Linked DNA regions of Caenorhabditis elegans. The protein of the gene in region 2 interacts with the protein of the main gene of each other region in a biochemical or structural test. Each region holds a gene or a part of one and is shown on either strand. Other genes may lie near its edges. The genes, in order: pdfr-1 and pdf-2.

Region 1 (5,012 bases), on a different chromosome or scaffold from region 2:
ATTTTTTTAAAAGTCTTCCAACAAATAATTGTGATGGTTAACATTCTGTGGTCAAATTGCTAAATTGAGGAATCTACTGTCTTGAATTTTTATGTAAGACAGTAAGCCATTTCCACAAATAAATACTTGGCATTACTCATTCGGAAAAAAAACAATTGCTAAACTCTAGTTTTTCACAAAAAGTCAAATTCCCATAATCAGGATTTCTCCGAATGATGGGGGAAATTGAATTTTTCGGATTGAGAGTAGGGCTTCTAAATTCTTTATTTGAATGGATGAATTAACACACACAAATTCTGAAGGAAAACTAACAACTTATCAGAATAAATTTGTAATATTACACAACTGCTTAAGTTTTATGGCTGATCTCATGTAATTGCAACAGTGCTTACACAGAAGACTCAGATTTTTCTCTCAAAATGCAAATGTCTTGTTTCGCGAGGTTTCGTTCAATTCAAAATTTTTAAACGGTACATAAAATGAATGATTAATTTTTAAACTTCTTATTTTCACGATTACCGAGTCTCTAAAACTATTTTTCCACTTTTCTCTATCTGTCTTCACTTGAAAAACGATTGAAGCCATCAAAAATCACCCAGAGAAACTTTCTTTTTCACGTTTTTCGACACATTTGCATTTTGATTACCTCTTCCTACACATGACCTATCTCTTTTCTCACACAAACTTTTTCACAGAAATCTTACATTTTCTTGCTCTCCATCTTTCTCTTCCTGCAAAAAACTAATTCTCTCCATCTCTGTATGTCCTTGTTTCTGGAGAACCTAATTTCCATAAAAGCCAGAAAATATTCTTCACTCTCTTTCATCGTCCTTATTTATTATCATTCAATCTTTTAAAAGTAAAATTATGTCGTGCGTTCACCTAATTATTCAGCTTTATTGCCCCCAAAGGCTCTTTTTTATGTATGTCGGAGCAAGTTTTCTTGACAACAACAAGAAAACACAATTTATGACTTGCTTGAATGTTATTAATTGAATGTTTGATTCTATTCTTGGGCGAATATTGCGGTACACTTTCTTAGAACCTATAATATTTTATGCATTCCAAAGATTTTGAGCTAATCTTGGTTTCAAATAAATAATAATGTTGCAAACCTTTTTATTCCAAAAAAAAGTAATATGTGAAATAATGTCAAGGTAAAGTTTGGCTTTTCGGTTTCAGTTGTAGAGTTTCAGTGATAATTTTTAGTCCAGTTAGAGTAGTTTTAAGTTTTTTCTACGCATTCTGTTTGAATTTAACTTCTATACATTTGGCATTAAATGTCATGTGAATTTAAAGCATTGATACAGTAAGATGTGTCCTTAAATAATTGTATAAAACGAGACAACTCAATTTCAAATTAGAACTGAATATCGTGCGTCCCCTAAAACCTTACATTAACTGTACAGTTGTGGAGCTTTATAAACCTTTAAACTTCTTTTTCTAGTTTAAGATATTGAAGAAAAATCACAAAAAAAATCTGGTGATGTTTTAGATGTCTTCAACTTCCACTATTTCTACTTCAATCTACTTGTTTTCAATAATTTCTGAGTTTTTCATCTCCGAAGGAACAGAAGGTGTTCCATAACTAATCAAACTTGACTTTGCACATTTCCACCATCATCACAAATATGATCGTCCCATATCTAATCAAATTGTGTGTGGGAAACTCCAACGAGTTTTTTGTGCCTATTTCCTCGTTGAGCAGCAATCCACTTGAAAAATCCAATCATCTTGGAGAAGTAGAAGACGAACTCGAATCCAATTCATGGCCCCGGGTTTTCACGTTGGTTAAACTTTTTCTCCTTTCATCCAATCACCTCTTCGAGTACGTTTCTTGTTCCGCGCCGCAGTTTTTTTTCATATTTGCTTTGGAAATTAAAATAAATAATTTTGATTTTTCAGGTAAGACCAGTGAAAACAAGACAACGAAGAATTGGTCAAACGTCGAATTGAAAAATGGTAAGTCGACCAATTATCAGATTTATTTTGGATTACACATGTTCTTCCGCTCTTTAATTATTTTCTTCTTGTTAGTCATTATTTAAAGTTCATTTTGTTTATACTCTTTCGCATTTCCCATGATTTTTGCAAATATTTTATTGAAGTTGAAAATTAGGGATTCCAAAAAACGTTTGAAAGAATAAACGACCTTGAATGGGTCTAGACAATTCATTTTTCTTGGATTGTTATTTTCGTATTAATTGAATTTTTACAAATGCTATTTTCAGACCAACTTGATATTTTTAGATTTTCTCAGTTTTCCGGAACATTTGCTATGTTTTTTGTCTGTTCAGTTTTGCTTTCATATGTATTAGCTCCTCACAACCGAATTATCAAAAAACTGTAAAAATAGAACATATTGAAGTTTATAGAAAATCGATGAACCATGTTTTTATTTTTTGAAGATGATACGATTCGTTATCAAAACTAAACCTTATATGGTAAACATTTAAATTTTCCTGTATACGTTCCTGCAATCTACCTACCTGCCTTCCTTAACCTCCCAACTTTTTTGGAGATTTGGTATTTGAATACTTTTTAATGTTGATTAATGATAGTAGTACTATTCTAAAGCTTAATCTTTTCTTGTAAAACAAAAACCTTATGACCTTTCTCATTCAATTCCTGTAACCTATTCTGCAGAATCCTTTTCCCTTGAAAAAATGAACATTTTCAGAAGGGTAGTTGTCTGTGTTTCTACTCTCCAGAGGATACCCACGCTGCCCCCGCTGTTAAAAAAAATATAGGGAGAAAGAGAGAAAGAGCAAAAATAAAATAAATTGGGCCAGAGCAATTTTCCATATCTTTTCCTGCCCCAGCGAGTCTTGTTGTTTCTTCTTTTGGTGTTTCTAAACACTCTAGGATTCTAGAGATTTTCAGCAGTTTGCAATCTTGAATTCTTAAATTTAACTTAAGTCTTGAAACAAAAACTTAAAAATTCACGGTCGCCTTCCTTTTTCTGTTTTTCTCAATATTTTCACTATTTCTGAAGAAATGACTCGTCGGATTCAAAGAGAATCTAAGAAAGTCTTGAAGAATCAAGAATTTCATCAGGATAAAAGCTGAAGACGTCAGTTTTATCTTGCTCTTCTTCATTGAAGTGAAAAGAGGAAGGGAAGAATGAGATCTGTAGAGTCACGTGATGGATGTTTGATATAAACTAATGTCTTCTGATGCTTTTCCTTCTTTCTATTCACTTTAATGATGGACCACTCATTCATGTTTCCTTAAAGACTTCTTGAAACTTTCTTGTTCCATCTACTTGATAATGACCATAGCCTTGAAACTAGATGAAAAGTCTTTAGAATTTCCTTCCAAACTTGAAATATCGGGAATAAAAAATTCACAAAACTTTTTCAATTTTATACATTTTAATTTTCAAATATCGTCTACATGGTTCCAGTGGGTTATAATATATTATAAAAAATTTTAAAATCCATGTATTAAAAAAATTAGAAAATACAGTAAAACGTACTTTTCCAGTGAAAGTGACAGAAAGGGCGCGAGGGTGGCGATGAAAGAGGCGGGTTAGATGCGTCGACGCCTCGTCGATGTAGATTGTCTGAAACGCAAGAGAATCTGGGTTTTCAATCTGAAGTTCTACAACTATTTTTTGCAATATTAATCTAGACCAAAATAGCAGGGTTTCATGAAGAACCATAAAAAGGATGCACTATGAGAATTTTGAAGTGTACTCCGTACTACAACTACATGACCTGATCTTTAGTGCAGTTAAAAAATATGAAAAACACGGAACAGAGTTCCTAGAGATGAAAAATGGTACCATTTTCGGCCATGATTTATTTTACGATCAGTTAAAACATTCCACTTGAGATAAGCAAAAATTATTAGTACTCTGTTCCAGAACACTTTTATATCTCATCTGAATATGCACCATGATTAGATATAAAATATATAAATTTTCTATGATCTGTTGTGAGATGGTCCCATCTCCCAATTATCTGGTACTCTGAGACACTCGCGAATACTCCCATCGTGTTCGCCGTACCAGAAAACCTATAAACCGCTCCTTCCAGTCGCTCTATCTCCCCCTTTCTCTAATCTAATGCGCGCCCTCATTTGAATCTCCCGCCAAGCTCAATGGTCTCGCAGCGAGTGTGCGCCGCGGGTCTCACCGCGCGCCCTCCTTGCTCGTCCTAATTCGCTGGCCTAAATTAGTTTCGACTCAACTCCCTTCACTCGTCTCGTCACCGCTCCTGCGGATCGTTCTTCTTTTATAATTATTTATCTTTATTTATTCCCTTAATAGTTTATCACCCGCTTTAGTGACTTGTATAGCAATCTTCCTATACGGAAGACGCTAACATCCGCTAATGACACGTTAAACTATTCCCTTATCGACAGTTCCCCTTCTTTCTATATTCTTTCGAGCTAATAAAGGGGGTTTCATGGTAACTTCTCGTGTTATATCGTTCACACCGCTTATCTCTCGTTCTTGCATGGCACTCCGCAACCGCCAGTTCTCTCTTAGACTTCTTTCCGGCTTGACCCCAGTGGTGGATCCCCAACCCACTATACTGGGCGGTCAACATGGAGTTGGACACCCATGTAGGTTATGAGTTTCTTACCTGGATAAACCGGTTTCGGAGCCATCTGGCGCGAGCGGTCGGATGATGATGATACATCCGCCGGTGCTCCTCTCTAGCTAGTTGAGTCAAACCCGCATGGTTAAAGCCCCCTTCGGATGCTATTCCCGATGTGGTTTGGTGAGTGCATTTGACTGGCTATCGCGACCAGCTCGGCATCAAGGCAGAAATTCAGAACACACATGGGGGGAATGGTTTTTTTTTATAAATTTCTTAGCCTTCTCCCAGTCACTTTTCCATAATCGTTTCCTGTTTTGCAATCTGAAACCTTTTTACGCAGAAAAAGTTTTCCAAGTACTTTGCTGACCAGAAAAGAAGCTTTTGAAACTCGAAAATACCTGCCCATTGCCAAAGTGCTTAATAACTTTTCAGTTAATTTTCTAAATTAAAATGATAATTACA
Region 2 (3,450 bases):
CAGAAAGCTTGCTGAAAAAATGGTTTCTTTTCTGAAAATTAAAATTTCTAGAAAACATCTCGAGTTGTTTTTAGGTTTACACGGCATCTTAAAATCAAGTTTAAATGTAAAAAAAAACATTTCTGAGCCACTTTTTACAGAACCTATTTATCTGAAACAGTGATCTGAAAAATTGTTAACTACTACATTTCAACTGCTCAATAAACAAATTTGTCAGTGTGTTATTGGCGGACTACGACAATAAGGAAAATGTTTAAAATTCTTTCATATTCTTTCAAGGCAAATATAATAATTAAAAATTTTGAAAAATTTTGAAATGTTTTTTTCACCATAGGTGTAGTTTTTAACATGTTCCACACTGGCGCTACTCCACCTTTAAAATAAAAAACATTTCGAGAATTTTTAGAATCGTTTTATTTGGATATTTAATAATTTTCTCACAGGCAATTTCTCCATTGCCAATTTTTAACGAATTGAGTTCCTGTCGAAACTTTGCATTTTTCCGTATGTCTTTCCTTTTGCAGCACAACGAAAATCAACTGAATAAGCGTTTATTGAACAAGTAGCATTTTATTTTCAACAGGTTTCGGTGTCACAGGTGACATAAAGAATCAGCACAGTTGTACGAAAATATCGATTAAAGCAAAGAATAAATCGGTTTTGTGGTAGCCTCAGTCAGAATCAGAGAATTTGAGAGAATGGTGAAAAATATATTATGGAATGCAAAAGTAAACATAGAATTGGCAATTGTTCAGGTCTCAAAAACTATGCCAACTTTCAAAAGTGAATAAGTGTTCAACTACAAGTGCTTTTAGAAATTATCAGATCCGTGTGCACTTTTACTTGCCAACGTCTCCAAGTCGATCCAGAGCTCCAAAATTTTTGAGAATATGGTTCACTACTTCGGCGTTGTTTCTCTTGTTTATTGGAGCAAACTGTAAATTTTCAGATTATTGAATTCTGAAAGTACGAAAGTAGTGAGCACCTGTCTTGAGTTGTAAAAACGGTATAAGACATGTGGGGCGTACGCTGGAAGAGAGTTGCCGTAACGCATCTGAATTTGTTTTAAAATATTTGTTGTTCAAATATTTGTTTTTCTTCCATCGTATCATACTTACCATGTTTCCTTGTGATCTTGGGGTCGCATCAACAACATTGGCTGTGAAGAACATGGTTGCCACTACAGCAAGCAGCAATAGGGAGACCGAAATTCGAGAGCTCATCTGGAAAAAGTAGCAAGTTGAGATGACCTGATGCAACACGATGCAACAAAAAACGATCCCGAGGGGGCGGCTAATGAGCAGGAAAATTTGAAAAAAGTTTCTTATCCAGTAGTTTTTCATCATTTGACTCATGCATGTAACATGCCAAAAACTTTTTCGTAATAAAAAAGTACGCTAAGGTGAAAAATGAAAAAAAAAATGATTTTCAGAATAAACCTTTGTGAATGAATAAGGGGAAAATATGAGAATCATGTAAATCAAGCCCCGCCCCCTAACAAATTTCTTCGAGCGCTGAGCCAATCATATACGTGAAATCGAAAGATTCTGATTGAGCCAATGAGCTGAGACGAGAAAAATAGAAGATTTCTAGAGTTGATGGTTTACGGGAAAATGTGAGAGATGTGCTACTGCGGGGATACGCCCACAAGGATCCGTAATTAGAATGTTGTTACTACAGCTTTCATTATTATTTTTGATGAGTTGCCTGCGAGAAAAAGAATGCTCCGAAGTCTCTCGAATGAAAACAACTGAACTATGGAGCTGGGGAATTGAATTCCAGGAATATATGATCATCAAAGTGTAATTCTTCAGACAGGGCAACACAACATTGTCTGGTTATTGGAACTTTTACTAGTCGATGTTCACCGATTTGGTTATACATTTTATCAAGAGTTGAGAAACTCTGAGCTATTATGTAATTAAATTCATCAAGGCAGAAATTATTACATAAAATTTTAGCTTTACAGCTCCCAATAAATTATTATGAAAGTTGACAGTCATTAAGAGGAAATTTTTATTCAAATGTTATTTTTGAAGAAAAAGTGCACTGACCGAACATCAAAAGCCATTTTTCTGTTTTAAAAAAAATCATCAAATTTTAAGAAATTCGTGTATTATGGGATTGTAAATAGTTAAATGGGAAACCTATGAAAATCGACTTCCAAATTTTAGGTTACATAATTGAAATGAAAGGAGAAAAAAACGGATGAAAATTATAAAGTGACCACCTATGAAAAATACTTGACTAAAAAGTGTATGTGCTTATGGTTTTTTTTGGTAAATCCTCACCTTTTCTGTAAAGTTTTGAAATGGAAATTTTATAAATATTATTTTCTAAACCAAAACATCAAAAATCTATAAGACCCTCTTTGAAATTACAATACTGTACTGTATATTAGTATTAAAATGCCGCGAACATTCATTATCCATTTTCAAACATCATTTTTTATTAGAGAAAAACATTAGCTTCGAAATTCAAAAAAATAAAAATAATGTCCAAATGAGACGAAGTGGAACACTTAATGAGTGAAGTTCTATAGATGACTCGTCCGACTATAGTTAGATGACTATTCGGAATTAAGAGAAAAACGACGCAAATGTGAATGGTTCCAATTTTCAATTTAGGGTTGGAAATGTTAGACAGGGAAGCATCCGTATAATGTTTTCATCCGATTTCATTTACTTTTTGATTAAAAAATGTAGATTTTGCCAGACAAGAATGACACGAAGTTTGGCCAGTAGAATTTTGAAGAGCTGATGAGCTAGTCGTCAGAAAATGCATATAGTATGCTGTCTTGAATGCCAAATGAGTCAAACGAAGTTAATTATAACATTGTGTACTTGAGCAACGGCCTGTATGACGTGCCAGTGGTTAATTTCCGCTTAGTTGTCTTCAAGAAATTGCAGCTTCTGGAAAAAAAAGAATTACAAGGAACACGACTTTTAATGTAATATTTGATACGAACTTGATAAATAATTAATGAAAAAGTATATTTCAATTTGGATAAAATTAGTTTCCAGAGTGATTTTTGAGCTTCTAGGTAGACCAGTCAACTTGAAAGTGAAATTATTATCCTGTTTTCTGATCAGTATAATCTCAGGATCTTTGTTTATTATTCTGCATTAGTTTTGTGATCTGAAAGTGCAGAAGTAATAAGCAACAGATGATAATTGGAATAGATAGGCTGGGAAAAAAGTTAACGATACAAAGGGATGAGTGGGATTTGCTAGAAAAATTGAGTTTGGGAACTGTTAATTCGAAAACAAAACTCTCTATTAGTTTTGCATGCAAGACAAATATCTGATTGATCCGTAGGGGTGCGAGTCTAATAGAGGCTGCAAAGCTATTCTTTCAACTACACTATAAATTTGAAAAGCTACCAATTTTATGAAAAAAACTTAATTTGATATAGTCAATAAATTGAACGCTTCAAGTTAAATTCACCCA

Evidence for each region.
Region 1: the proteins of pdf-2 (region 2) and pdfr-1 interact in a test that uses a peptide from one of them, tested with the Caenorhabditis elegans proteins (one large-scale study listed by BioGRID).

Annotation. Positions count from the first base shown.
Region 1 is NC_003281.10:6,647,919-6,652,930, reverse strand, and holds the start of pdfr-1 (Calcitonin receptor-like protein 1), read left to right. Parts: upstream 1-1,905; 5' UTR 1,906-1,962; intron 1,963-5,012. UniProt on the Caenorhabditis elegans protein: G-protein coupled receptor for PDF neuropeptides. Plays a role in responses to environmental signals, including chemicals and touch, and in modulating locomotory behaviors. Capable of transducing signals via an adenylate cyclase acy-1 cAMP-dependent pathway.
Region 2 is NC_003284.9:2,161,157-2,164,606, reverse strand, and holds pdf-2 (Pigment dispersing factor homolog pdf-2), read right to left. Parts: upstream 1,224-3,450; coding exon 1,119-1,223; intron 1,055-1,118; coding exon 986-1,054; intron 936-985; coding exon 840-935; 3' UTR 538-839; downstream 1-537. UniProt on the Caenorhabditis elegans protein: Probable ligand of isoforms a and b of the calcitonin receptor-like protein, pdfr-1, a G-protein coupled receptor. May not signal through isoform c of pdfr-1. Involved in locomotion; may play a role in circadian rhythms of locomotor activity.